3 linked regions of the Pelodiscus sinensis genome follow. The protein of the gene in region 3 purifies or fractionates together with the protein of the main gene of each other region. This does not show direct contact. Links are inferred from orthologs where the notes say so. Each region holds a gene or a part of one and is shown on either strand. Other genes may lie near its edges.

What was found.
Region 1: the proteins of ATXN2L (region 3) and LSM12 purify together in Homo sapiens (affinity purification with mass spectrometry; 4 studies listed by BioGRID and IntAct, with this or other methods). This does not show direct contact. The link is inferred for Pelodiscus sinensis from reciprocal best matches to the Homo sapiens genes ATXN2L and LSM12.
Region 2: the proteins of ATXN2L (region 3) and G3BP2 purify together in Homo sapiens (affinity purification with mass spectrometry; 4 studies listed by BioGRID and IntAct, counting the BioPlex papers as one, with this or other methods). This does not show direct contact. The link is inferred for Pelodiscus sinensis from reciprocal best matches to the Homo sapiens genes ATXN2L and G3BP2.

The regions. Positions count from the first base shown.
Region 1 is NW_027466028.1:357,090-366,891, forward strand, and holds the start of LSM12 (protein LSM12), read right to left. Parts: upstream 3,784-9,802; 5' UTR 3,698-3,783; coding exon 3,577-3,697; intron 1,329-3,576; coding exon 1,195-1,328; intron 1-1,194. Other genes in the region: G6PC3 (glucose-6-phosphatase 3), read left to right, coding at 4,188-4,723, 6,844-6,900, 8,288-8,394. UniProt on the Homo sapiens protein: Nicotinic acid adenine dinucleotide phosphate (NAADP) binding protein. Confers NAADP sensitivity to the two pore channel complex (TPCs) by acting as TPC accessory protein necessary for NAADP-evoked Ca(2+) release.
Region 2 is NC_134715.1:5,422,197-5,432,134, reverse strand, and holds the start of G3BP2 (ras GTPase-activating protein-binding protein 2), read right to left. Parts: upstream 4,512-9,938; 5' UTR 4,277-4,511; intron 3,447-4,276; exon of another isoform or gene 3,410-3,446; intron 1-3,409.
Region 3 is NW_027465989.1:89,270-99,091, forward strand, and holds the start of ATXN2L (ataxin-2-like protein), read left to right. Parts: upstream 1-5,449; 5' UTR 5,450-5,590; coding exon 5,591-5,772; intron 5,773-9,822. UniProt on the Homo sapiens protein: Involved in the regulation of stress granule and P-body formation.

The sequences.
Region 1 (9,802 bases), on a different chromosome or scaffold from region 3:
TGAGATAGTGAATGTAGGAAGCCTTCTGTCACTGCCACTTCACACAGTTTAATACTCAAAGCTGCCATTGTGCCTGGTCCACACCTTGAAAGTTAGATTGACATAGCTAAAGCACTCAGGGTGTGAAAAATCCACACCCAAACACTACAGCTATGCAGTGTAGATGCAGCTAAGTGGATGGTTGTCATCATAGCTACTGTTGTTCAGGAAGGCAGTCTCCTACAGCAATGAGAACACGTCTTCTGTTGCTATAGGAAGAGTCTACACTACAGCGGCACAGCTGGAAGGGTCTACACAGTAAAGGGTTACAGGGGTTTAGTACAGAACTGCCACGGTGGTGTCCTAATGTAGATGTCTTTGGATCATAAGTCCACATATCTTATAAGCCTTTGAGACCCACCACAACACAGTAAAGTCCTGACAGAGCTGGGTCTTGCAGTGGTCCCAAATTGCACCCACAGCACTTGAAATGCCAAGAGCATAGCACAAGCGTTAAGCCACAGTGCCAGTTTCCAAGGGTAAGGCCATGTTGAAATCAGATCCAAAAGCATGGTGGATTTTCTGTGTAAACAAGCCCCAAAACGAACCTATATACGGTAGTCATGGCAGACAACTGTCCAGAAAGGCCTGGTAAAAAAAAGACTTATGAAAAGTTGGTCTTGTCAGGTGCCTTGTAACCCACACCCAACAGAAGAATTGGATGGCAATAGATTCCTCCTCTAGCTTCATTCAGCCAGGAATGCACCGTACTATGTTTTGGCAAAACAGAAGCACCTAATGAAGCCTGGTCACAAGATTCCAGACTCTCAAATTTTCATCTGCACAACAAGGAGCTCAGCTGCCCATGGACCAATCACCTTGGAAGACCATTCCTCCCACAATTTCTACTGTAGCCTAATGACAATTGCCAAGTATAAAGATGCCCAGGCTGCCCTTTTATAGAAACTTTAATGCACGTTTAAGTGCTTCACTGCACAAGAAGAACCAGAATAGCACCATGCACATGACCAGTCTGATTTAAATTGATAAAAGCCATGTCAACTAACCAAATATCATGCAAAGTAGGATATTTAAACAGTAAGAAATGCAACTGATTCATAATACAAGTAACAGTGCATTTACTCTTCCTGTCAATTAAATCAAGCATAAATCCATGAGCACACAAAAGGAGAGACAAGGATAAAGGGCCCTTACCTTGCTAACATTGAGTGAAGCTAAAGGAGGAGGGGTTTCCGTGCGGTCATTAATTATTTCCACTTCTGAAACATACTGTAAGTTTACGAGCAGGATATCTGCGTGGTTGGGCTTTCCACTGGAAGAGGGACATTCTGGAGGAAAATAGCATTAAGGAAAACAAATCCAGGCGGACACAGTTAACAGCTCTGAAATGAAAACTGGCAAGGAGGGCTACATGATACCGGTTAGGGAACAAATCAACAGAGGAGTTAGATTTTCAGCAGGTAAGTTCTTCCACCGCACTAAGGTGTATAACAGTGAAATGATTGGTCAGCAGTAAAAAGCAGAAACAGTGCTAGCAACAATTATTTAAACACAGCTGCTGCCAGCAGGGGTTTCCTGACCATGGGACTGAATCTGTTTTTGCTAATAACTGTTGTAAGTACACTAGACAACCTCGGATGCTGCATGATCTGCAGTGTACTTTTCAGGAGCACACAGAACCTTCCCCATTCTAGTCAAGGAAGATAGAAAGGGCAAGATTTTCAACAGACATGGGGCAAGGTTTTGCTGATCAGTACAGAGAACAGTCACTAATCCTTTGTTTCTCAACATGAAGAAATTGAGCAAAATAAGCCACTGCCGAATAAACTACTCTAGAATAGCTCTGTGGGGGCACTCTTTCTGGAGTAAATGTACACATGGGTAGCTACTGCAGGCGAGCAACTGAGCTTTAATTTCATACCCAACCATACTCCAGAATTACTTGTCTATAGAGAGAAACCTTAACACGCACCGACTACGTCTAGACTGGCATGATTTTCCGCAAATGCTTTTAATGGAAAAGTTTTCCCATTAAAAAAGAGTGTCTAGATTGGCATGGACGCTTTTCCGCAAAAGCACTTTTTTCGGAAAAGCCTCCGTGCCTATCTATACGCAGTTTTGTGCAAGAAAGCCCCGATCGCCATTTTCATGATAGGGGCTTTTTTGAGCAAAACAATACTGCGTTGTCTACATTGGCCCTCTTGCGCAAAAGCATTTGCACAAGAGGGCTTTTGACCGAACGGGAGCAGCATAGTATTTCCGCAAGAACACTGACAATCTTACATGAGATCGTCAGTGCTCTTGCGGAAATTCAAGCCGCCAGTGTAGACAGCTGGCAAGTTTTTCTGGATAAACTTGCCGGTCTAAGCGCAGCCACCGGGTTTCTAGACCAAATAACATTCCCTTACTGCAGATGCAACCTGAACACAAGTTACTCTATTAATACTTTCACCTACATCTATGGATGACAAGCTCTAAAGAGTCATAGAAGAGATTTTTCCATTCATAATCACACTTCAGAGAACATAACCTTACATACATTTGAGATAGTTTGTCACTTCTAGAATGACAGAACCGTGTAAATTAGACACCAGCTTACCACCCCCAGAAAAACCTTTATAGCACTGACATTAATTCCTGCGCAATCTGTTCCTGCTGAAGAGGGATAGTTAGTCCTCCTCTCCTTCATCTGTCTGCTAGAGTAAGCAGAGAAGAACATATAGAGACGAGTGTGGAGACTGCATTAGACATATGGCTCTGCACGCTGCTTCTCCACTCCTAGGAGGAGAGGGAGTCTGGCCTCAGCCATAGAAATGAAACAGTCTGCAGCTTAAAAGCCGCCAGCAATCAGCTCTCCCTCCACCACAGGAAGAGCACGGCCCTCATAAAGGGGAGAAAGGTGGAAGAGGAGGAGAGCACACGGGGAAAGCTGCGTACAGAGCGCACCCTTCCCCGGGAAGCCAGGCCCTGGGCCCACCAGGCACCCTCCGTGCGCCGCCTCTTCCTCTCCAGGGCTCCCGCGGCCCGCTCGGGCCCTGCCTGGCACAGGTGCGGGGAGCGGCCGGCCGAGGCCCCCCGGGCGTGCGGGGAAAGGCGCGGGGCCCGCTCCCGGCGGCTCTGCAGGTGGGAGCGAGACTGAGCGGGGGCTCGCGACGGCCAGTGCCCCCGGCCCGCCCCCCCGCCCGCACACACGTGTCCCGCGCCGCGCCCCCGCACCCCCCCCGGGCCCACAGGCCGCCCCCCCCGCCCCGCGGATACTGAGCGCCGCCCCCCCCGGCCTACAGGCCCCCCCGCGCGGCGGATACTGAGCGCCGCCCCCCCCCCGGGCCCACAGGCCCCCCCGCCCCGCCCGGCGGATACTGAGCGCCGCCCCCCCCGGCCTACAGGCCGCCCCCCCCGTCCCGCGCCGCCCCCCCCGGGCCCACAGGCCCCCCCGCGCGGCGGATACTGAGCGCCCCCCCCCCGGGCCCACAGGCCCCCCCGCGCGGCGGATACTGAGCGCCCCCCCCGGGCCCACAGGCCCCCCCGCGCGGCGGATACTGAGCGCCCCCCCCGGACCCCCCGCGCGGCGGATACTGAGCGCCAGCATCTTGCTGGGGTAGTCGAAGGCCACCACCTCGCCCTGCAGCCGCTGCTCCTGGCACGTGCGGCACGACACCTGGCTGCCCACACTGAAGTACTCGCCCGGGGCCGCCATCTTGTCTCAGCAGCGGCGGCCGCGGCTCGGCTCAGCCCCAGGGAGCCCCACGCCAGGCGGGGGGCGGGGCCAGGCCGGGACGTCGGCCCGCGCGCGGCGTCTGGCGTCATCGCGCAAGGGGGCGGGGCCGCAGAGAGGGCGGGGCGGGGACACGCGGAGGGAGGGGCGTGGCCAGCAGGACAGGGCAGCGCTTCACAGGCTCCCCGGACGGTTTATTAGGGGATGAGCTTCCGGGGCCGGACCCGCCCCTAGCAAAGTGCTGCCTGGTCCTGCCTTTCGTTCGGCTGCATCTCCAGCACTATGCTGCATGCACGGATTGGGATCTGCCCGGTGTGTCACCCCCACGCCTAGGCGATAGCTACACTCGCTGCTCCTTGCACAAGTACGGCCGTCCTTGCACGAACCCGCACAGCGTCCACACTGCCAGCCCGCTCGTGCGCAAGGAAATGTACAGTACGGCTGGGAAGAGAGGGCTTCTTGCACAAGAGCGATGCTCTTTTCTAACAGGTGTAAGCTCTCTTCCGCAGGAGCTGGTGCACAAGGAAATGTACAGTACGGCTGGGAAGAGAGGGCTTCTTGCACAAGAGCGATGCCCTTTTCTAACAGGTGTAAGCTCTCTTGCTCAGGAGCTCGTGCACAAGGAAATGTACAGTACGGCTGGGAAGAGAGGGCTTCTTGCACAAGAGCGATGCTCTTTTCTAACAGGTGTAAGCTCTCTTCCGCAGGAGCTGGTGCACAAGGAAATGTACAGTACGGCTGGGAAGAGAGGGCTTCTTGCACAAGAGCGATGCCCTTTTCTAACAGGTGTAAGCTCTCTTGCTCAGGAGCTCGTGCACAAGGAAATGTACGGTACGGCTGGGAAGAGAGGGCTTCTTGCACAAGAGCGATGCTCTTTTCTAACAGGTGTAAGCTCTCTTCCGCAGGAGCTGGTGCACAAGGAAATGTACAGTACGGCTGGGAAGAGAGGGCTTCTTGCACAAGAGCGATGCTCTCTTCCGCAGGAGCTGGTGCACAAGGAAATGTACGGTACGGCTGGGAAGAGAGGGCTTCTTGCACAAGAGCGATGCTCTTTTCTAACAGGTGTAAGCTCTCTTGCTCAGGAGCTGGTGCACAAGGAAATGTACGGTACGGCTGGGAAGAGAGGGCTTCTTGCACAAGAGCGATGCCCTTTTCTAACAGGTGTAAGCTCTCTTGCTCAGGAGCTCGTGCACAAGGAAATGTACAGTACGGCTGGGAAGAGAGGACAGCTCACACATGGCAGTGTGGACGTGTTCTTGTGCAAGACTTCTTGCGCAAGATGTTCTTGCGCAAGAAGCCACCACTGTAGACCACTACAGCAAGAGACAAGAGCAAGGGGAGCCCTACAGCCTCAGCTGAGAGCCAGCTGGGTTGTAGCTCAAGCTGTAGTGATTCCTACACTAAGCTCCAGCGTGCCCAAGGTTGAGTCTATGCGTGCCCCTTGGCGCCGTTGTGGCTCTGTGTGCTCCTAGCTGGTGGCTATGATATATATGGTCATGCCAATTCTCTTCCAGAATATGATCTGAGGAAGTGGGTCTGGCCCACAAAAGCTCATCACCTATTAAACCATCTTGTTCGTCTTGAAAGTGCTACATAGTTTTTCCTTTTATCTTGGTTATGACAGTCTTGTGGCCCACTGAGGCGAAGAAGGGCCACTCACTAGCCTAGGTTCCTCATTGCTGCCTTACAGGAATGCTGCATTAAGTAATTCCCAAAGTGGGTTCATGCAAATAAACAACGAGGAAAATAAAGCTCATATTTATTATTCACCACCCTTTCTGCTGTGGCAAATGAGTCAAACATTTTACTGACACATCAACAATCAGTTCCCCAACCCAGAAAAATGATGGCTGTGTCTAGACTGGTATGACTTTGCGCAAACTCTTGCCACCTGTCTACACTAGCCGCGAGTATTTGCGCAAGAACACTGACGTTGTAATGTACAAAACCAGGGCTTCTTGCGCAAATACTGCGACTCTCCCGCCCAGGGATAAGCCCTCTTGTGCAAGAGGCCAGTGTAGACAGCAACGTTAATTTCTTGCGTAAGAAAGCCCGATGGCTAACATGGCCGGCAGAGCTTATTGCGCAAGAGAGCGTCTACACTGGCACGGATGCTTTTGCGCAAAGGCACATGCCAGTCTAGACGCTCTCTTGCGCAAATACTTTTAACAGAAAAACTTTTCCGTTAAAAGTATTTGCGCACAATCTTGCCAGTCTGACGCAGCCATACAGTCTACCAGTGGTTCCCAAACTTTTGGGCATCACACCCCCTTTTTGATTTTTAAGAAACCCTCACCCCCTCCAAATAAAAAATAGCAGCAAATCTTGTTCAGCAAAAGCAAAAAAAAAAGGAACTGCCCCGGGCCGAAAAACAAAAATAGCAGCAAAACTGGAGGGGGAGAGGACTTGAAGGGGGGGGGCTGGGTCACCTCACACCCCCCTGGAATTTCTTCACGCCCCCAAGTTTGGGAACCCATCCCAATACGGAATGCATGTGTGATACAAATATAGGCCCCAGTCCCTGCAAGGAGATCCTGGCACCAGTTGTGGATCTTATTTTTCACTAAAGTTTGCAGTGTAGCATGTGTGCAAAAAACCAAAAATCAAACAGACAAGCCTACAAGCAACCAAAAACCAACACACCTGAACAAAAAATACAGTGGCTCCAATCCTTAAAAAGATGCTATGACGCAGAATAAAATAGTGAACTCCTCCAGTTTCCTTATCCCTGGTGAAACACTTTGCATGTCATCATTCCAAAGTAGCCAAGGCTGCAGCAATCTTGGAGAAGCAAATTGCACCATGAAAGGATGGATCCCAAACTCATTTTCTAACTTTTTTGCAAAGGCTCATGATACCATCTACATGTTTTGTTAGTCTATAAAGTGCTACAGACCAGATTTTGTTTTTTAAGTTTTTCTCTTATGAACATCCCTTGAGGAAGCATCAAGGCATCTTCCTTACTTTTTCCGAAAGGGACAAAGAAAAGGTTTCATTGTCCCTTTGTAAGCAGCAGTTTAGCAAAAAGAAAATTTGTTTATTACCACTGAATAAATTAAAGGTAGCCTACAAGCATTTCTTTCTTTGTTTTAACTCTGGTGTGTGATCCTTTTTGCTTCTTAATGCAGGAGAAAGGCTGCCTGGAAGGTGGCAGTGGAGGATGGGGGCTACAGGAGGCAGTGCGGGTAAGGCTACAAGTGGCAGTGAGGACATACAGGAGGCACTGGGAGGGTAACAGGTGGCATGGGGGGGTGGGTACTGGGGAGTTACAGGAGGCACTGGGGGTGAGTGCCGGATGGGGTCAGTGAGTGCCGGGGGGGATTACAGGGAGCAGTGTGCGGGGGTGCGTGCCAGGGGGGGCTACAGAGGGCAGTGGGGGGGGGTGTGTGCCAGGGGGGGCTACAGGGGGCGGGGGGGTGAGTGCAGGGGGGGCTACAGGGGGCAGTGGGGGGGGGGGGGTGAGTGCCGGAGGGGGCTACAGGGGCCGGGAGGGTGAGTGCCAGGGGAGGGTCAGAGGGAGTGGGGGGGGGTGCGTGCCAGGGGAGGTCAGAGGGGTCAGTGGGGGGGTGCATGCCGGGGGGGCTACAAGGGGCGGGGGTGAGTGCTGGAGGGGGCTACAGGGGGCAGGAGGGGGTGAGAGCTAGGGGGGTCAGAGGGGGTGGGGAGAGTGAGTGCTGGGGGGGTCAGAGGGGGCAGTGGGGGGGTGATTGCCGGGGGGGTCAGAGGGGGCGGGGGGGTGCGTGCCGGGGGGGTCGGAGGGGGCGGGGGTGTGCCGTGGGAGGGGGGTGCGTGCCGGGGGGGGTCGGAGGGGGCGGGGGGGTGCCGTGGGAGGGGGGTGCGTGCCGGGGAGGGTCGGAGGGGGCGGGGGGGTGCCGTGGGAGGGGGGTGCGTGCCGGGGGGGTCGGAGGGGTGCGTGCCGGGGCAGACGCTGGACTCGGGGGCGGGGCGGGATCCCGCCGAGGCGGCCGGGACAGGAGGGCGGGTCCGGGGGCCGATGGAGGCGCTGTACCGCGGCGGGGCGCGCTGGGCCGGGGCGCTGCAGGCCGGGCCGCCCCCCCTGGAGGGCCTGTGGCTGGGCCTGACCGCGCTGGCCGACCCCGCGCGCGTCTTCAGCGGCCTCTTCCCGCTGGCCTACGGCCTGGAGCGGCGCGTCGGGCGGGCGGTGCTCTGGCTGGGCTGCCTGGCCGAGTGGCTCAACGTGCTGGCCAAGTGGTGAGGGGGGGCCCCCCCGCGGGACACCCCGCAGCGCCCCCCGCCCCCCCGCGGGACACCCCGCAGCGCCCCCCCCCCCCACGCGACTCCCCGCAGCGCGCCCTGCCGCCCCCCCCGTAGCGCCCCCTGCCGCCCCGCACGTGACTCCCCGCAGCGCCCCCTGCCGCCCCCCCGCGCGACTCCCCGCAGCGCCCCCTGTCGCCCCCCCGCACGACTCCCCGCAGCGCCCCCTCCGCGCGACTCCCTGCAGCGCCCCCCGCGCGTGACACCCTTGGCGCCCCCTGAAGCTCCTGTGGCTTCCAGGAGCCTTCAGCATTTTGCTTTTCAGACCTCAGCTCTGTCTCCTCTTTCTGCCCCCAGGTTCTTGTTTGGAGAACGGCCATTCTGGTGGGTCTATGAATCCGGGCTCCACAGCAAGGAAAACGTCCTGCTTCGCCAGTTCCCTGTCTCCTGTGAAACAGGGCCAGGTTGGTTATGAAGATGCTAAAGCTGCCGCTTCTGTTAGGGATGTGAGGAGTAAGGGTTACCTGGGAGCAGTCCCCGCCCGCACCTTGCTGTGTTCTAGGCCCCCACCCCACTCAGTTGGCCGCTGGATCCAGCAGCCAGCCCTGCATGGGGCTGCTCCATCCGGATTGGGGCAGTCCCCTACCCAGGATTCCACTGAGCCAGTTAACCGGTTCAACGGTAGGTAAACGCAGGCCTGAACCGGTTAACTGATTTATCGAGATTTTACATCCCTCGCGGGTAAGTACCAGCCCTCTTATCAGCCTAGTCCTGGAGCACCGTCCCCAGTGCTCTGCAGCGGGTAAGTACCACCCCTCTTATCAGCCTAGTCCTGGAGCACCGTCCCCAGTGCTCTGCAGCGGGTAAGTACCACCCCTCTTATCAGCCTAGTCCTGTAGCACCATCCCCAGTGCTCTGCAGCGGGTAAGTACCACCCCTCTTATCAGCCTAGTCCTGGAGCACCGTCCCCAGTGCTCTGCAGCGGGTAAGTACCAGCCCTCTTATCAGCCTAGTCCTGGAGCACCGTCCCCAGTGCTCTGCAGCGGGTAAGTACCACCCCTCTTATCAGCCTAGTCCTGTAGCACCGTCCCCAGTGCTCTGCAGCGGGTAAGTACCAGCCCTCTTATCAGCCTAGTCCTGGAGCACCGTCCCCAGTGCTCTGCAGGGGGTAAGTACCAGCCCTCTTATCAGCCTAGTCCTGGAGCACCGTCCCCAGTGCTCTGCAGCGGGTAAGTACCAGCCCTCTTATCAGCCTAGTCCTGGAGCACCGTCCCCAGTGCTCTGCAGCGGGTAAGTACCAGCCCTCTTATCAGCCTAGTCCTGGAGCACCGTCCCCAGTGCTCTGCAGCGGGTAAGTACCAGCCCTCTTATCAGCCTAGTCCTGGAGCACCGTCCCCAGTGCTCTGCAGTGGGTAAGTACCTGCCCTCTTATCAGCCTAGTCCTGGAGCACCGTCCCCAGTGCTCTGCAGGGGGTAAGTACCAGCCCTCTTATCAGCCTAGTCCTGGAGCACCGTCCCCAGTGCTCTGCAGCGGGTAAGTACCAGCCCTCTTATCAGCCTAGTCCTGGAGCACCGTCCCCAGTGCTCTGCAGCGGGTAAGTACCAGCCCTCTTATCAGCCTAGTCCTGGAGCACCGTCCCCAGTGCTCTGCAGTGGGTAAGTACCAGCCCTCTTATCAGCCTAGTCCTGGAGCACCGTCCCCAGTGCTCTGCAGCGGGTAAGTACCAGCCCTCTTATCAGCCTAGTCCTGGAGCACCGTCCCCAGTGCTCTGCAGCGGGTAAGTACCACCCCTCTTATCAGCCTAGTCCTGTAGCACCGTCCCCAGTGCTCTGCAGCGGGTAAGTACCAGCCCTCTTATCAGCCTAGTCCTG
Region 2 (9,938 bases), on a different chromosome or scaffold from region 3:
TTGAACTGTAGGAAGAGCCTCCTGACAGGGGTCTTGCTACAGTTCAAAAGCAGTGGCCCACAGCTACCTGCAGGGCTTCTGCTTTTGAAATGTACAAGAGCCCTACTGGGTCTCTTGTACATTTCAAAAGCAGAATTACAGTGCAGGAGTGGAGACTGCTTCAGTCCCTGCTCGAGCTGTTTCCAGCTGTGCCTCTACCTCCCCTGCCCCTCACGGAGACGGTGCTGGGGGGAATCAGCTTTTAAGCTGGCTCCCCTCAACACCAGCTCCTGCTCCCCCCCCCCCCCCACTGCTGATTCTCTGACAGAGGCAACAAGGGGGATAGGAAGCAACTAGTCACATCATTAGTTGACTATCCAATAATCTTCTGCTTATCGGATAGTTGGCTAGTCACTTACATCCCTAGACACACCAATATTTTGTGACACAGACTACTAAAGCTAGCAAAATGCAGGACAATGTAGCACTTTAAAGACTAACAAGATGGTTTATTAGATGATGAGCTTTCGTGGGCCAGACCCACTTCCTCAGATCAAATAGTGGAAGAAAGTAGTCACAACCATATATACCAAAGGATACAATTTAAAAAAAAAGCTAGGGATGTAAAATTCCATTTAACTGATCAACTGGGCTGAAGTGCCCATGTCCACGGTGGGCTTTGCTGGGCTGGAGCAGCCTCCCGCGGTTAACCAGAGCCAGTAAGCATCACCTCTTAAACGTGATGCTTACCAGTTAAGCTTTCACATCCCTAACTAAAGCACAGTTCTTCATGCCCACAATTTCACCATCAGAACATCAACCAATAAAGTACTCCAGCTAGCACAACACCACCATTAAACACTGCAGTCTAGCTTTGGTGTCCAACAGCAGTACTCTGCTCTGGCTCTAAGGTCATGTGCACAGTGTGTGGACCACCTGCAACAGGGTTTTGAAGTGCACTTCACTCCATACCTGGTTCCAAGCCAGTTACAAGTGTAGGCTCCATAATGTGGTGGGGAATTGAAAGAGATGCTAGAATTGCTTGAATGCAGAAATGTTCTTCCCCACATTCACAGGATGGAAACAGAGTGATATTCTCCTCAAAGTACTATAAAAAGGTAGATTTACAAACCTAAAATACCAAAGGTGGTCATTATAACAGAGTTGAAACTCAATCCAGAAAACTGGTTCTCTCATGTATAATAGCATATCCTCAATCAGAATACAGAGGACTTCATCTCTCCACCTCAGAGGGACTGGTATTTTCAGTCTAAACATTATTGGATCACAAACTGCAGGAGTCATGAATGCTTCCCCTGCCCTACCTCTGCAATTTGCATTCGGTTAGATTATAAACATAGTCCTTAAACCCTTCTATAGTCTATTCCTTAGTCACTTCAACACCTGATTATCAATCTAGAAACCTGAGCTACTACAGGTGGTAGCCTACTTGGCCAGCAGCATATATTGCCATGGACATATGACACCAGTACTGCAGGATCTGTGCTGGCTGACTAGCTGTTACTTCCAAGTAAAATTAAAGCTAAATTTTAAGCTCCTAAAGGCTTTGGACCAGCACACTTAAAAAACAGCATGGGAGGGTGTGACAAAGCGGGGATTGTATTCACACCGTCATGTTGTATGTGATCTCTACTGTCCTGTGCTGCACTGTTGTAACTGGGTGTACGCGCACCTCAGTTTCCCAAGGCACTGCACCCGTGCCCGTGCCCAGCTGTGGATGGGAGTTTTGGGTGTGACTCTCACTGAGGGGGAGGGCTGCCCAGTCTGTCCCCAGCATGTACACAATAGCTCAGACTCTCTTTTAACCTGAGCCTAGGTGCAGGGTGCAACCAGATAACACCTTTTGCCAGGAAAGGGGACAAAGGAGGAGGCGGGGCTGCCTGCAGGCTGGGACCAGTTGCTGGGCGTGTGAGTGAGTCTAAGCTATTTTAGGATTCAAGGAGGGGGCCTAGGGCCCCTATCCCCAAGACAGATTTTACTAACTACGCCTGGTTCCTGTGCTAACAAGTCTGAGTTATGAGTTATCCCTGTGAACCAATAAACCTTCTGTTCTACCTGTTGGCAGGGCTATCCAAAAAAAGGCCTTAATTTTACAACTTTTATTAAGGCTACTGTTAAAAAAAAATGTATTTAGTACAGAAACTCTCCCAACCTGTGTATGCCAGGGTGTCATGCTTGGATTATCTACAAACAAAACTTCTGCTTAAGGGTTATATAATACATATAATATGTAATTAGCAGGGCTCAACAAATAATGTAATCTACTTGCCCGTGGCGAGCAGATTACACCCCGGAAGAGCCGGCGCAGAGCGATCTGCGCATGCGCAGAACCGCGCAGGGCTCACTGCCGCTTGGCGAGCCCTGGTAATCAGCAACAATAGAAATATAGGTGTGCAAGTTTAATAATACTGTTTGGATATCATGAAATGTTATACAAACATAACCTAGATGGTTGACTTTCATGGCACATTGCAAAGTTTATCTGTTTACTCAAACTTTCAGAGGTGTTGCAGGGAGCAGCCTGATGGGAGTTTATGGCAGTGGGGTAAAAGAGTTTTATGGGGAGCTACTGGTGGATAAACTTGCCTGAGCAGCTACTAAGGCAACACATGGTTAATAAGTACCATTGAAGTCAACAGTGTTATTTACATATCTAAGTTTTTGCAGGATTGCCGGCTCTTTAGTATCTGAATTGGCATTTTACAAGTTTCACCATAAATCTCTAACAATGTTTGTCTCTCCACAGCTCCATTCCCTAACCAAGTGGCTCTTTATTTTTGAAAAACTGAAAGCCACTGGGGGAAGAGAGTGTTCCTAACAAAGTTCAGGTATAATATAGTACAATGAAAGCAAGCAACAGACAATAGTTTATACCTTCAAGTCAGAGATGTGGTTCTTGACGTAAAATTCCATTATCCAATTAAGTAGTTAAATGTTATGTTAACCAATTAAGCCGGGGGCTGCGCCAACCAGAGCAGTTCCCCACCTGCAGCATAGTGGGCCTGGCCAGAGTGGCTCCCAGTAGCCGCCTGTGGTGCATCACAGATGTGAGGCCTCTCCCAGGCGCTGGTTAACCAGTAACAGGTAAGCATCACCCTTACTTATGCTTACTGTTGTTCACATCCTTACTCTTCAATATATTTAACACTCACAAAACACCCTGTAAATGGAGATAAGTACTGTGGGTTTGAAGACTTCTGAATGAATGAACAAATATTTCATCCATATAAATTATACTGGAGAAGCAGAACAAAAGAAAACTTGCTGGACGGACAAGAGATGACCTATCAGGAGAATTTTTACTATGAATATCCACACAATTTCTAAACCTAGATAGGGTGATCAGAGAGAACCTTTTTTAATCCACATAGGTATTGCATCTGATGTAATAAATAGGAGGTATACATACCCTCGGTCCCAATGTAACAAGAATCAAAATAGAGCTCCTGGAACAAACACAGAACACAGTAATAAAATTTTCCTCCCTTAGATGCAGTCCAAAAGGTACCATGTGGCCCTTGGAGAGTCAAATGCTGCTGAGAAACTGGTCCATCCACCACCTCCCTCACCTTTTGAGGTTACCTTTCCTGCTGCTCTCTAAATGAGCAAAGCAGAGACTCAGGAATGTGAAGATAAAGCGAGGCAGCTCTCTCAAACAGATCTCTTTGTAATGGAGTCTAGTGCTGTTGCCTAACTCCTAGCCTATTAGAAAGGCAGATAGCAAATGCAACCAAAGGTTCAAAGCCACACATGGGGCAAGGCTGAATAACCCCTGAGAGGGAAGAGGATGCTGACACAGGTGCTCTCTCCAGCCTCAGCGCCTGAGTTTTACTTTCTCAACCAGCCTCTATTTTCTTTCTTTTGCAGCCTAAACCAGGGGGCTTTTTAGGGTCGGAGGTCACTGACACACAAAAAACCAGTCAGGGACTGGACACAAGTGAGAAACAAAAAAATAACCCCCCCCCCTCAGCAGCACGGGCTCCCCACTGCTGGGGGCAACGCCGAGCCTTGGGAACGGGATGCAGAGAAGCCCCCACCCTGCCGTGTCTGCCAACGATACCCCTTGCCCGGGGGTGTGAGCTCCCTCGGGTTCGGAGACAGCCCGCCTTCCCCTCACCCCGGCCCCAGCCGAGCGCAGCCTGCCCCGCTCCGGGAGGCGGCCCGCGCCGGCCGGGCAGGGAGGGGGGAGGGTCCCCGCAGCCGTGCCCGCGGGGGGGGGGGGGGGGCAGCCCGATGCGGGGCCGCGCACATGCCGGGCGGCCCGTCCCGCACTCACCTAGGGCCGGGCTGGGTGCGCGGGGCAGGGCGCTCCCCGGGGCCTGGCGGCGTGTGCGCGGGGCGCGGCCTCTCCCGCGGGGTGCCTCTGGGGGGGCGGGCGCGGTCACTGCGCAGCCTGAGGAGAGGGGCGGCGGCGCGGGCTCCGGGCGCTTCGGCTTCGCGGCTCCCTTATTGTCTCCCCTCCCCCCCCTTTCCCGGCGCGCGCGCGCGCTCCCCCTCCCTTCCTCCCTCCCTTCTCCGCGCCCTGCGTTCCAGGGCAGGAACCCCCGTCACCGGGCTTCCACCAATCAACGGCGTCCGCGTTGTGACGTCGGCGGAGCGTTCACTTCCCGCCGAACCGCACGCGAGGGGGGTTGTACGGCAGCCACCCGCTTCCGCCCGCGTGACGCAGAGGGGCGGGTTGGCTGGCGCGCGCCTCCTCCTGCCCGTCCGCACTTGGCCGCAGGCGCGCGGCCCCCTAATGGCCCGGGAAGGGGCTTTGCTCTTTGCAGGGCAGCAGCACGAGCCACGAGCTGTGGGGATCGTTCCAACCCAATGAGCAGGAGCGACTAGGGAAAATGCCACGAGCTCCTGCAGGGATCGTTCCAGATAGTGGCACTGGACCAGGGGAGATGGGAACGGGCAAAACAATAGGCAGTGGGAGTGGGACAGGAGGTCTGTAGCTCGGGACTGGGGGAGGAATTTGCAGTCTTGTGGTCAAGGGAGCCCTGCTGGCTGTACTTGCAACCCACAAAAGGGCAGTATCTGTGTTTCAGAAGTAGCAATTCTTCGCCTAATTAAAAATATATATATATATTTTGCGAACTAGATTCAGCTTTGAAACCTGTGATGTATACGTAAAATTCCTTTTGGGAAAAAAGAGCCCAAGAAAAAAGGTCTTGTGGATGCAGAGCAAGGTAAATAGCAAGTCAGGATATGTTTATAAAATAATGTAAACCACAAAAACATAAAGAGAGGAACCAGGAAACAATATATCCCCTGGGGATAGGAAGCAATTGAACAAGAAGCAGCTAGCTATTTGTCAAGAACATAATGGCCTTGCATTTTACAGTTTACACTAGGCTTTTCTAACCTATCTATCACCACCAGAGTATTTAGTTGCCAAACACAAATTTATTCACAAATTATCCTTTTCTTTCTTCTACGTCTTGGTCCAGCCGCTGGTGCATAGACAAACTATTTTACCCCCATTAGCAATCTTTCCATTAGAGAATGTCTCAGTTATCAGAAAGGAAAAAATGGGAAATGAGCGATTTGGTGTCATGCTCTGAAAACATGCAGATTCATTCTGAGCTGTTGTGAGCAATTGCACGGTTAAAAGCTCTCACCCAAAAGCCGAATGGTCCTTGTCAGCTTGTAGCAAACCTCTCCCTGCACAGGAACTGTAGCTGCGTGGCAAAGTAGCCCAGGACACTCACCGATAGGTGGAACTGCTGGCCTGGGGCACACAGGCAAACTCCAGTCCCGCCCCCTAATCATCATCAGGGTCCATGTGAACCTTAAAGAGGCAGTACATCAATCGCATAACCAAACGCTTTTTATTTCCTATTGCAAATGTGGAAGTTAGTGTTCAGTGTGAAGATCCATATAAATTATTTTAAAAAGACTTTTAGAGTACTCCTATCAAAGTTGTACACACACTATTTCTAGCACAATGAAAATAGATAGCCTGGAGTATCATATCACTATTAAGAAATCCATTTATTGATTTTAGATGTATTGCTACTGCAGTGTTTGGCTGTCAAACCACAATAATAGGGCAATCGTATAATCTAGTCACTTAGATTTATTATTAAATTATTTATTAAAATATCTAAAATACAATAAAAATGAAGAACGAAATAGGACGCTGTCATCTGGATAGGCAAATCAGAGTATGAATCAGTTACTTCTGATCCCATCTGCATACAAAGGAATACAGGTACTTAGAAAGTTGATGGGGAAATTAAATTACATCAGTCCTGCAAATCTTTAAATTGAATCAAAACCAGTAAGAATTATATATATATATATATATATATATATATACACACACACACACATATATATATACATATATATATATACATCAACTTTTAAGTACTAACTTCCACTATCTTAAGAAGGGAAATATAGTTATTTTAAATAACCTTTTTCATAGATGGTGGTTTTTTAAACAAGAGTTGGCAGATTAGTGGAATAGAAAGGTTTGAGATGTCATCTTAACTTGATTTGTGTCTTCCTTGCATAGATGGTTTTGAAATCTGCTGGAATCTAGTTCTGGCCTATCTCTTTCTAGATAACAGGATGGTTTTCTCTTCTTCCTCTGTAATCTAAATAAAAGTAAATATAGATATGTGAACCTCCTTAGCTACCTGGTCTGGTCACCACTTGAAGGAGGATGCTTCCCTTGAGGAAGAGTGGTACTGCACAATGGAAGAATTCAAAATGGACTGAAAGTCCTCAGACTCTTGGGGGGTGGGGGAGGAGGAGAAGTAAAGACTTCTACTGGAATTACATAAAACTGCTCTATGTAATAATCATAGGTTTAAATTAGGAGTAAAATATCTCCTGGCTATGAGCAATGCCAAATGACTAGAAGTTTCAGCTTATAAGAGAAATCTAAATGAAATTTCAAGATAACAACTGGGATAATTCTGTAACCCTCAACCAGACCTCCAGGCAAAACTAAAACACTTAGGCTGTGTCTACATTGGCATGATTTTGCGCAAAAGCACCTGCTTTTGCACAAAAACATGCTGCCTGTCTACACTGATGGGGAGTTCTTGCGCAAGAACACTGACGTTCTAATATGTGAAATCAGTGCTTCTTGCACAAGAACTATGATGCTCCCGCTCAGGAATAATCCCTCTTGCGCAACTGTTCTTGCGCAAGAGGCCAGTGTAGATGGGCAACATGAATTTCTTCCACAAGAAAGTCCGATAGCTAAAATGGCCATCGGAGCTTTCTTGCGCAAGAGAGCGTCTACACTGGCACGGATGCTTTTGCACAAAAGCACATCTCTTGCGCAAAAGCACATGCCAGTGTAGACGCTCTCTTATGCAAATGCTTTAACGCAAAAACTCTTGCGTTAAAAGTATTTGCGCAAAATCTTGCCAATGTAGACATAGCCTTAGTCCGCGTCTACACAGCAGGCAGTTATTTCAAAATAATGTCGAAATACTGTCAAGCTGAAGGACTTCTTACTCCGACTCCTGTAATCCTCATTGTACAAAGAGTAAGAAAAGTCGGAGGAAGAGTGCTCTATTTCATGGACTTGTGTTGGTGGAATAGAGCACTTACAACTCTAACACCACGAGAGGCATAGGGGTTTAATGTTGGTGTAGTAAGGGTGTTGCAGCAACTCTGTAGATACTTCTTTATTCCCTCAGTTGTTGGCTGTCATTCTTGTCAATTTCACGCTGTCTACAGGAGCCCTGAAATTAACAACAAAGTGTGGTAGGCTTGTTGCTGTGAACCCAGCAGTGGTCCCCAACCTTTTGGGGCTGCTGGGCGCCCAGGAGCAGGGCCGCTCATGCGCCATGCGTCCTGCGTCCGGGGGCGGGGCCACACATGCGCCACGCGCCTGGGGACAGAGCCGCACCTGCACCATGTGTCCAGGGCAGGGGACATGCATGCGCCATGCGCCCGGGGCGCAAGAATGGCTTGGGCCGGTCCTGGTCACTTGGCGGGTGCACATAAATGCCCCGGTGGGTGCTATGGCGGGAACCACCACCCTAGCTCATAGCTCAGGCATTCCCTGGGGCTTTCTTTCGCTGCACTGCCCCTTTTAGGTTGGCGGAAGTGGTGAGGTTGTGCACCACTAAGAGAAGGAGCATAATGTGGACATGGAAAACAGCAGTAATTACTTGGTAGCTGTAAGTTGACCTAAGATAGGTCCATGTAAGTTTGTAAGGTAGACATGCCCTGAGGCTCCATGGCTGTGTCTAGACTGCATCCCTTTTCCGTAAAAGAGATGCAAATTAGACACATCGCAATTGCAAATGAAGCGGGGATTTAAATCCCCCCCGCTTCATTTGCATAAACATGGCTGCCACTTTTTTCCAGCTCGGATCTAAGGGGTCTTTCGGAAAAGGCTTTATTTTCTGAAAGATCCCCGTCTAGACTGGCGCTTTTTTCTGACAAAGCTCCAAGCCGGAAAAAAGCGGCAGCCATGTTTATGCAAATGAAGCGGGGGGGATTTAAATCCCCGCTTCATTTGCAATTGCGATGTGTCTAATTTGCATCTATTTTACGGAAAAGGGATGCAGTCTAGACACAGCCCCCATGTGTGTGGAGTGAGTGAATGGGGAGGCTCAGATGCTCTGTGCGTGTTGGTCTATGTGTGTGTAGCATTGATCAGGCTGAAGTCAGGCATGGAGTGGCAGGTCAGCCACTGTGTGGTGGCTAAGGTGGGAGCACAGGCTCTGTGTGGGTTAGTGATGGGGAAGGCTTGGTTGTGGTGTTGGGAATAGAGGAGTTCAGGGACCAGTGGGGCTTGTGAGCTATGCATGTTAAGGGTAGGTGGGAGCTGTGGGTGGCTCTTAGGAGCTGTTTGTGTTGCTGGTGGAGGGGGTCTCAGGAGCTGTGTGCATTGAGATGGGGAGGGGACTCAGGAGCTGTTCATGTTGAGGTGGAGAAGAGTTCAGGGGTTGTATATGTTAGGATGAGCGGAACTCAAGGGCAGGGGGCTCAGGAGCACTGTGTGTTGAGGTGGAGGGGGGTTCAGGAGCAGTGCGTGATGGGGTGAGGGGGCTCACAGACAGGAGGGTTCGGGGGGGACTCGGGGACGGGGGCGGTGCATGATGGGGTGGAATAGGCGTAGGGACTGGGGGGGCTCGGGAATGGGGGAGCAGTGCGTGATGGGGGCTGCGGGCAGGCGCTCAGGGACTGGGGGGGTGCGTGATGGGGTGGGGGGCTCAGGGACCAGGGGGCAGTGTGTGATGGGGTGGGGGGCTCAGGGACCGGGGGGGCAGTGTGTGATGGGGTGGGGGGCTCAGGGACCGGGGGGGCAGTGTGTGATGGGGTGGGGGGCTCAGGGTCCAGGGGGCAGTGTTTGATGGGGTGGGGGGCTCAGGGACCGGGGGGGCAGTGTGTGATGGGGTGGGGGGCTCAGGGACCAGGGGGCAGTGTGTGATGGGGTGGGGGGCTCAGGGACCGGGGGGGCAGTGTGTGATGGGGTGGGGGGCTCAGGGTCCAGGGGGCAGTGTTTGATGGGGTGGGGGGCTCAGGGACCGGGGGGGCAGTGTGTGATGGGGTGGGGGGCTCAGGGACCGGGGGGGGGCTCAGGGACCAGGGGGCAGTGCGTGATGGAGTGGGGGGCTCAGGGACCGGGGGGGCTCAGGGACCGGGGGGGGCAGTGCGTGATCGGGTGGGGGGGGGCTCGGGGCGGTGCGTGACGGGGTGGGGGGGGGCTCGGGGCGGGGGGCGGTGCGTGACGGGGGGGCGGGCGCTCAGGGACCGGGGGGGGGGCTCGGGGCGGTGCGTGACGGGGTGGGGGGGGCTCGGGGCGGGGGGCGGTGCGTGACGGGGGGGCGGGCGCTCAGGGACCGGGGGGGGGGGGCTCGGGGCGGTGCGTGACGGGGGCGGGCGCTCGGGGGCCGGGGCGAGGCGGGGCCCTGCCCCCACAGCGCTGCCCGCGGGCAGGCCGGGCCGAGCGCGGCTGTCAGGCCCCGGCCCCG
Region 3 (9,822 bases):
GGAGGGGCACGCAGAAGCCGGTGCTGCCTCCTGCCCTGCCGCTTGCATCAGAGGCAGCAGCACAGGGGGGGAAGGGGGCGGGGGAGGCTGCCATGAAGCAACGTCTGTCAGCGGGAGAGCCAAGCTTCCCATGGAGCAGCCTGTCTGTGGGGAGCTCAGACCCTCCATGGACGAGGCTGCTGCTCTGTATCAAGAGGCAGCAGTTCAGGGCAGCCGGTCTGCACAGGGAGCTGGTTTTTAAACTGGCTCCCCTCATGGACTGACTCCACCTGCCATCCCACACTGCTGCCCCTGTGGCAGGGGCTCCTGGGAGTGCACAGGCTGCTGGCCCCACCCACAGGGACTATCGAATAGTCGTGTAACCACAGTTACACTACATCTAACATCCCTACTCACAATCCAGATCGGGGCGGGGAACCTTTTTTGGGTTGGTGGCCACTGACCCTCAGAAAAAAAGCAGTCAAGGGCTGCACACAAGTTAGGGGAAAACCCCCTCATTGACGTGGCCACCCACTGGGAAGCAGAAAGATGTTCCCCACAGTCCCCTGTGCACTAGAGCCCAGAGGGCCCAACTAAGGATGTTCAAATGCGGTTATCAGGCTAATCGTATAGTTGATACAATTTGTATCAACTCCAGGAGCCACCTGCACTGCGGCTCTGCATTTTAAATGTAGTAAGAGCTGCTGGGCTCCTACTACATTTAAAATGCAAAGGCGGAGAGATCAGCACAAGCCAGGACTGGTTGGCCCCAGCTTGCACTGAGTCCAGCAGCCCCTGTTCATGATGGACAGCCCTGTCCGCTGCAAACCTCTGCCTGCGGCCAGCCCTGGTTGCTGCAAACAGGGGCTGCTTGGCAGCAACAGCCCCAGTCCACGGGGTGTCCAGCTCCCTGCTGGGACCTCTATGGATAGGGGCTGCTTTGCAGCAGCCTGCCCTATCTGCCCCCTTGCTGCCTCTCATAGGGAAGGGCGCAGCAGGGAGAGCAAGACCAGTGGGCCCTCAAGCTGTCCCCACTGACCCTGTGTTCCCACTTCAGCCTTTGAAATGTACAAGAGAGCTGCAGGAAGCAGGGGGCCAGCAAGACAGTCCCTGTTCTCCCTGTGGCACTTTCAGCGGTTGCACGGTTACCTGTTTAACCCACTTTTTACATCTCTCGTCAATAGTGTGACATGGCTGCAAAAATAAGCAGACATCACTCTGGGATACATTAATATGAGTGCTGTCAGCAAGACATGAGAAGTCATTCTTCTGCTCTACTCCATGCTGATTAGGCCTCAGTTGGGAGTACCGTGTCCGGTTCCAGGCACCATATTTCAGGAAAGATGTGCAAACATTGGGAAAAGGCAAAAGAAGAGCACCAAAAGTGATTAAAGGTCTGCAAAACCTGACCTATTCTGGAAGACTGAAAGAAATGGATTTGTTTAGTCCGGAAAAGAGAAATCTGAGAGGGGGCATGATAGTAGCTTTCAAGTACCTAAGAAGTTGTTAGACAAAGGAGGGAGAAAATGTATTCTCCTACACCTCTGATCATAGGACAAGAAGCAACTGGCTTAAATTTCAGAGAAGGAGATTTATGGGGGACATTAGGAAAAGTTTCCCGTCAAGGTGCTTAAGTGCTGGAATAAATTGCCTAGGGAGATTATGGAATCGCTATCATTAGACAAGCACCTGTCAGAGATGCTCTACATGGTGCTTGGTCCTGCCTGCAGGGGACTAGATTTGAAGACCTCTCCAGGGTCCTTCCAGTTCCATGACTTAGGTGTCCCTGTGCTGCTGGGCTGGGGTGAGCTCAGCACATTTCCCAGAAGATTACAGTGCGGGTGGTCTAGGTTGGATATTAGGGAAAACTATTTCCCTAGGACGGTGGTGAAGCACTGGAATGGGTTCCCTAGGGAGGTGGTGGCATCTCCATCCCTAGAGGTTAAGCCCCAGCTTGACAAAGCCCTGGCTGGGTTGATTTAGTTGGGATTGGTCCTGCTTTGGGCAGGGGGCTGGAATCATAGAATCATAGGGCTGGAAGAGACCTCAGAATGGACTTGATGATCTCCTGAGGTCTCTTCCAGCCCTATGATTTGAAGGTGTCTTTCCTCATCCAAAAGTTCTGCAGCTGAAAACATACATAACAACGTGACCCACCTGAGCCAAAAGTGACGTGCTCCATGGTGCGCAACTGTTCCCTGAATGCCCAAAGTGATCAAATGCCGCTTCTGCCAAACTCAGACGATGCCTCAGGCAACAGTGAATCCCATGAGGTTTGAAACTTCACCATTAGCTACAGGGCTGTTCAGTGCCGTGCTGCTGACAGTTATGCTAATACGGGAGAGCCGGGTGGGATCCTCTCTTGTACACAGCGATGGCAAGGGGAGCAGAAAACAAGGGATTTAGAAAAATGCTTAGCATGCCGGGACCATAGAGTCCAGACCCATGACGCCATCCGCTCTGCCTTCCCACAAGAGCTAACAGTGAAGGTGGAGAGCTACCCACACTGCAGTGCTCTCTGTTCATGCTGCTGCCCCAAGTGTGGAAGTGCTCTGCAGACAGAGGACAATGGGAACATGAAACACCACCTTTCTTTTAGGGCTTTTTGATCAGCAGCTACACTTTCAGTGAAGCAATTCGGGCAGAATAGATATACCTAGAAACAGGACGTGAAATGTTAACAAGGAGGGTAATTAATGACTGGGATAATTTCCCAAGGATTGTGGTGGATTCTCCTCCACTGACTGTTTAAAATCAAGATTGGATTTGTTCCTTAAAGATCTGATCTAGTTCAAATAGCCATTAACTCAAGGCTGCCTATACACTGGGACACAGAGGTCAGACCAGACAATTGAATCTGCCACCATCTCAATCCGCTCTACCTCTTCTCCTCTGCCCCCTCCCCAGCTCCACCCCTCCAGTTCCTCCCTCATCTGCCCCTCCCCAACTCCACCCCCTCCTGCTTCCTCCCTCCTCTGCCCCCTCCCCAACTCCACCCCCTCCTGCTTCCACCCTCCTCTGCCCCCTCCCCGATTCCACCCCCTCCTGCTTCCCCCCTCCTCTGCCCCCTCCCCGGCTCCACCCACTCCTGCTTCCCCCCTCCTCTGCCCCCTCCCCGGCTCCACCCCCTCCTGCTTCCTCCCTCCTCCGCCCCCTCCCCGGCTCCACCCCCTCCTGCTTCCCACCCTCTCCTGCTTCCCCCCTCCTCTGCCCCCTCTCCGGCTCCACCCCCTCCTGCTTCCCCCCTCCTCTGCCCCCTCCCCGGCTCCACCCCACCTGCTTCCTCCCTCATCTGCCCCCTCCCCGGCTCCGCCCCCTCCTGCTTCCCCCCTCCTCTGCCCCCTCCCCGGCTCCACCCCACCTGCTTCCTCCCTCATCTGCTCCCTCCCCGGCTCCACCCCCTCCTGCTTCCTCCTTCATCTGCCTCCTCTCCAACTCCACCCCTCCTGCTTCCTCCCTCCTCCGCCCCCTCCCCGGCTCCACGCCCTCCTGCTTCCTCCCTCCTCCGCCCCCTCTCCGGCTCCACCCCCTCCTGCTTCCTCCCTCCTCCGCCCCCTCCCCAGCTCCATCCCCCTCCTGATTACTCCCTCATCTTCCCCCTCCCCGGCTCCGCCCCCTCCTGCTTCCTCCCTCCTGTTCCCCCTCCCCGGCTCCGCCCCCTCCTGCTTCCTCCCTCCTCTGCCCCCTCCCCGGCTCCACCCCCTCCTGCTTCCCCCCTCCTCGGCTCCACCCCCTCCTGCTTCCCCCCTCCTCTGCCCCCTCCCCGGCTCCACCCCCTCCTGCTTCCCCCCTCCTCGGCTCCACCCCCTCCTGCTTCCTCCCTCCTCTGCCCCCTCCCCGGCTCCGCCCCCTCCTGCTTCCTCCCTCCTCTGCTCCCTCCCCGGCTCCACCCCCTCCTGCTTCCTCCCTCCTCCGCCCCGTCCCCACGCCCTCCTGCTTCCTCCCTCCTCCGCCCCCTCTCCAGCTCCACCCCCTCCTGCTTCCTCCCTCCCTGGCTCCACCCCTCCTGCTTCCTCCCTCCTCCGCCCCCTCCCTGGCTCCACGCCCTCCTGCTTCCTCCCTCCTCCGCCCCCTCCCCGGCTTCACGCCCTCCTGCTTCCTCCCTCCTCCGCCCCCTCCCCGGCTCCGCCCCCTCCTGCTTCCTCCCTCCTCCGCCCCCTCCCCGGCTCCACCCCCTCCTGCTTCCTCCCTCATCTTCCCCCTCCCCGGCTCCACCCCCTCCTGCTTCCTCCCTCCTCCGCCCCCTCCCCGGCTCCACCCCCTCCTGCTTCCTCCCTCATCTTCCCCCTCTCCGGCTCCACCCCCCTCCTGATTCCTCCCTCCTCCGCCCCCTCTCCGGCTCCACCCCCTCCTGCTTCCTCCCTCCTCCACCCCCCCCGGCTCCACCCCCTCCTGCTTCCTCCCTTCTCCGCCCCCTTCCCGGCTCCACCCCCTCCTGCTTCCTCCCTCATCTTCCCCCTCCCCGGCTCCACCCCCTCCTGCTTCCTCCCTCCTCTGCTCCCTCCCCGGCTCCACCCCCTCCTGCTTCCTCCCTCATCTTCCCCCTCCCCGGCTCCACCCCCCTCCTGCTTCCTCCCTCCTCCGCCCCCTCCCCAACTCCACCCCCTCCTGCTTCCACCCTCCTCTGCCCCCTCCCCGATTCCACCCCCTCCTGCTTCCCCCCTCCTCTGCCCCCTCCCCGGCTCCACCCCACCTGCTTCCTCCCTCATCTGCTCCCTCCCCGGCTCCACCCCCTCCTGCTTCCTCCTTCATCTGCCTCCTCTCCAACTCCACCCCTCCTGCTTCCTCCCTCCTCCACCCCCCCTGGCTCCACCCCCTCCTGCTTCCTCCCTCATCTTCCCCCTCCCCGGCTCCGCCCCCTCCTGCTTCCTCCCTCCTCCGCCCCCTCCCCGGCTCCGCCCCCTCCTGCTTCCTCTCCAGCTCTGTCCCCTCCCTGGGGACAGGGTGTGTACACGTCACGGTGGGGGCTGAGGCTGCGCAGGGCAAGAGCCGGGACTCATTTTTGTCCACTCTATAAGGCGCCCCTGGCGGAGGGATTCCGATGCGCTTGCGCTTTAAGTTTTCTCTGCCCCTCCCCGCCTCCGGCAAGTTCCCTCTCAAGGACGCGCATGCGCAGCGAGGGTCAGCTAGCGTGCGGCGGATAACACGCTCGGTGGGGGGGGCGCACGCGCAGAGGGAGTGCAGCTCTACGCATGCGCAGTAGAAAGCAGCCTGAAGGTTCCCTCCAACGCGTAGCGCCTCGGACGCTTCGTCTTCCCACGCATGCGCAACGCCCACCAACGGTCTTCTTACCCGGCGGAAGAATCTCAAAAAGTTCTCCACTCGTGTCATCACGTGGTTCGACTGATCACCGCGGTGCGGAGGTGCCCGGCTGGCGGTGCCGTCGGCGCAGGCGCAGTGAGCTGGCTTCCCCGCCGCGCTGCCCTTCTGCTCTCGGCTCAGCCAGGCTCATTGTGCGGAAGGAGCCAGGCCGCAGCGCGCTCCAGCCCGGCCGCCGGCGCCCCTCCCCCCGCCCCGCGCGCCAACCGCCGCCGCCTCGCGCCGCCGCTCGAGCCGCCTCGCGCGCGCGCGCCCGCCCGCCGGACTCCTCCGGGGCCGCGCCGGCGCCGCCATGTTGAAGCAGCCGCAGCCGCTGCCCCCGCAGCCCCCCCCGGGCGGCCCCGGGCCCCAGGCCGGGCCCCCGCCCGCCCGCAAGGCGCCGCCACCCGGCGCCCCCAGCCCCAACGGCAGCCTGAGCCCCAGCGCCGGGCCGGCCCGGGCCGCGGCCCCGACCGGGGGAGGCGGCGGCACCAGGTAACGGCGGGGCGGGGCCGGGGCCCTCGTGCGCGGCGGGGGGGCTGGGAGGGAGCGAGGGTCCCGTCACTGCGCGCGCGTCGCGGGGGGGGGGGGGCTCTAACAGCGCGAGCGCGGCGCTGATTGGTCGTTTGTACAGCCAATCCCCGCCCAGCGGCGCGCGAGAGCGAGACCCCGGCCCCTCCCCCGCCGTGGGACCCAGCGTCCGCCCCTCCCCCCCGCCACGGAACCCAGTGTCAGCTCCTCCCCCGCCGTGGGACCCAGCCTCCGCCCCTCCCCCTTCCCCCCCAGCCACGGAACCCAGTGTCAGCTCCTCCCCCGCCATGGGACCCAGCCACCGCCCCTCCCCCTTCCCCCCCAGCCACGGAACCCAGTGTCAGCTCCTCCCCCGCCGTGGGACCCAGCCTCCGCCCCTCCCCCTTCCCCCCCAGCCACGGAACCCAGTGTCAGCTCCTCCCCCGCCGTGGGGCCCAGCCTCCGCCCCTCCCCCTTCCCCCCCAGCCACGGAACCCAGTGTCAGCTCCTCCCCCGCCGTGGGACCCAGCCTCCGCCCCTCCCCCTTCCCCCCCAGCCACGGAACCCAGTGTCAGCTCCTCCCCCGCCGTGGGACCCAGCCTCCGCCCCTCCCCCTTCCCCCCAGCCACGGAACCCAGTGTCAGCTCCTCCCCCGCCGTGGGACCCAGCCTCCGCCCCTCCCCCTTCCCCCCCAGCCACGGAACCCAATGTCAGCTCCTCCCCCGCCGTGGGACCCAGCCTCCGCCCCTCCCCCTTCCCCCCCCAGCCACGGAACCCACTGTCAGCTCCTCCCCCGCCGTGGGACCCAGCCTCCGCCCCTCCCCCTTCCCCTCCCAGCCACGGAACCCAGTGTCAGCTCCTCCCCTGCCGTGGGACCCAGCCTCCGCCCCTCCCCCTTCCCCTCCCAGCCACGGAACCCAGTGTCAGCTCCTCTCCTGCCGTGGGACCCAGCGTCCGCCCCTCCCCCCCGCCACGGAACCCAGTGTCAGCTCCTCCCCCGCCGTGGGACCCAGCCTCCGCCCCTCCCCCTTCCCCCCCCCAGCCACGGAACCCAGTGTCAGCTCCTCCCCCGCCGTGGGACCCAGCCTCCGCCCCTCCCCCCCCGCCACGGAACCCAGTGTCAGCTCCTCCCCCGCCGTGGGACCCAGCCTCCGCCCCTCCCCCTTCCCCCCCCAGCCACGGAACCCAGTGTCAGCTCCTCCCCCGCCGTGGGACCCAGCGTCCGCCCCTCCCCCCCGCCACGGAACCCAGTGTCAGCTCCTCCCCCGCCGTGGGACCCAGCCTCCGCCCCTCCCCCTTTCCCCCCCAGCCACGGAACCCAGTGTCAGCTCCTCCCCCGCCGTGGGACCCAGCGTCCGCCCCTCCCCCCCGCCACGGAACCCAGTGTCAGCTCCTCCCCCGCCGTGGGACCCAGCCTCCGTCCCTCCCCCTTCCCCCCCAGCCACGGAACCCAGTGTCAGCTCCTCCCCCGCCGTGGGACCCAGCCTCCGCCCCTCCCCCTTCCCCCCCAGCCACGGAACCCAGTGTCAGCTCCTCCCCCGCCGTGGGGCCCAGCCTCCGCCCCTCCCCCTTCCCCCCCAGCCACAGAACCCAGTGTCAGCTCCTCCCCCGCCGTGGGACCCAGCCTCCGCCCCTCCCCCTTCCCCTCCCAGCCACGGAACCCAGTGTCAGCTCCTCTCCTGCCGTGGGACCCAGCGTCCGCCCCTCCCCCCCGCCACGGAACCCAGTGTCAGCTCCTCCCCCGCCGTGGGACCCAGCCTCCGCCCCTCCCCCTTCCCCCCCCAGCCACGGAACCCAGTGTCAGCTCCTCCCCCGCCGTGGGACCCAGCCTCCGCCCCTCCCCCCCCGCCACGGAACCCAGTGTCAGCTCCTCCCCCGCCGTGGGACCCAGCCTCCGCCCCTCCCCCTTTCCCCCCCAGCCACGGAACCCAGTGTCAGCTCCTCTCCTGCCGTGGGACCCAGCGTCCGCCCCTCCCCCCAGCCACGGAACCCAGTGTCAGCTCCTCCCCCGCCATGGGACCCAGCCTCCGCCCCTCCCCCTTCCCCCCAGCCACGGAACCCAGCGTCAGCTCCTCTCCTGCCGTGGGACCCAGCCTCCGCCCCTCCCCCTTCCCCCCCAGCCACGGAACCCAGTGTCCACTCCTCCCCCGCCGTGGGACCCAGCCTCCGCCCCTCCCCCTTCCCCCCCAGCCACGGAACCCAGTGTCCACTCCTCCTCTGCCATGGGACCCACTGTCCGCCCCTTCTCCCCCAGCCACGGAACCCAGTGTCCACTCCTCCTCTGCCATGGGACCCACTGTCCGCCCCTTCTCCCCCAGCCACGGTACCCAGTGTCCCATCCTGGGAACTCAGTGTCCGCCTTTTCCCTGCCGTGGGACCCAGCCTCCGCTCCTCTCCCTCCCTCCCCCCCAGCCACGGAACCCAGTGTCCACTCCTCCCCCGTCGTGGGACCCAGCCTCCGCCCCTCCCCCTTCCCGCCCCAGCCACGGAACCCAGAGTCCACTCCTCCCCCGCTGTGGGACCCAGCCACGGAACCCAGTATCCATTCCTCCCCCGCCATGGGACCCAGCGTCCGCCCCTCCCCCCCAGCCACGGAACCCAGTGTCCACTGCTCCCTTGCCGTGGGATCCAGCCTCCGCTCCTCCCCCTTTTACCCCCCAGGCACGGGACCCAGCATCTACTCCTTCCCCGCCGTGGGACCCAGCGTCCGCCCCTACCCCTTCCCCCCCCAGCCACGTAACCCAGAGTCCACTCCTCCCCCGCCGTGGGACCCAGCATCCGCCCCGTCCCTTCCCCCCCCCAGCCACAGAACCCAGCATCCACTCCTTCCCCGCCGTGGGACCCAGCATCCACCCCCTCTCCTCCCTCCTGCCATGGAAGCCAGCATCCGCCCCTCCCCTCCGCTGTGGAACCCAGTGTCTGCCCCTCTCCCTTCCCCCCCAGCCATGGAAACCCAGTGTCTTTCCCCCTAGCCATGGGACCCAGCATCTGCCCTTACCCCACCATGGGACCCAGGCGTCTGGCCTCCCAACCCCATCCTTCAGCCCCTGTCGTCCCTCCCAAACTCTAGGACCCAAGCATCTGGCCTCCTAGTTGCCCCTCACCCCCATCCCCACAGAGCCCGGACAGGACACACACATCCCCCCTCCATGAACCCTGGCTTCTGGTCTCCCAGCCCCACCTCCCCCACTCTGGAATTCAGGTGTCTGGCCTCCCCCCTTGCCTCTCCAGAGCCAGGATGGGCTCCCAGCAGCCCCTCCCACTCTCTCTGGCCACCACCCTGAGCTGGGACAGGACCCTGGTGTCCAGGCTTCTAGCATGTCCCCTCTCCTTGCCCACCCTACATCTCTTGCCCCTCCCAAAGATGAGCTAGAACCCAGGCATATAGGCTCCCTGCCCCCTACCCTCCACTCCCCAAGCAGAGCCAGACTAGATCCCAGGTGTCTAGGCTCCTAACCTTCCCCCCTTCCAGAAGCTCCCAGGCTCCTTCCAACCCAGATCTGGGCTTGAACTCCCATATCTGAGTTCCATGACCCCACTTCCACCCAGAGCTGGGATAGGACCCAGGTGTCCAGGCCTGGGATGTAATAATGTAGTTGATTAACTGATTACGTGTATTCCTCCCTCCTCCCCCACTTTGCCAGTACATTTTTTTAGCAGGCTGGCCAGCAGCCTGGCTCAGTCCTGGATTGTGACAGATCCAGGACCTACCCCTGCTGCGGCTCTGCATTTAAAGTGTATTAGGAGCTGGGTGGGCAGGCAGCCCAGTTTAATTCTGGCTCGCGCTGGGTCTGGAAGCTCAGCCCCTCCTCTGGACAGGGGCTGCTGCCACCGCACCCTGCTGCCTCTGGTTTTTATACTGGCTCCCCTCACAGACCAGTTCCTGCCTGGCACCAGCGAAGTGGCGGGGGGCTCCTTGGGAGTGGTGCCGGAGTGCACAGGCTGCTGGCCCCACTCCCAGGGACTATAGAATAGTCAAGTAACTGATAAGAATTCATGAGATCAATTAGCCGCTATTTAACATCTCTCGTCCGG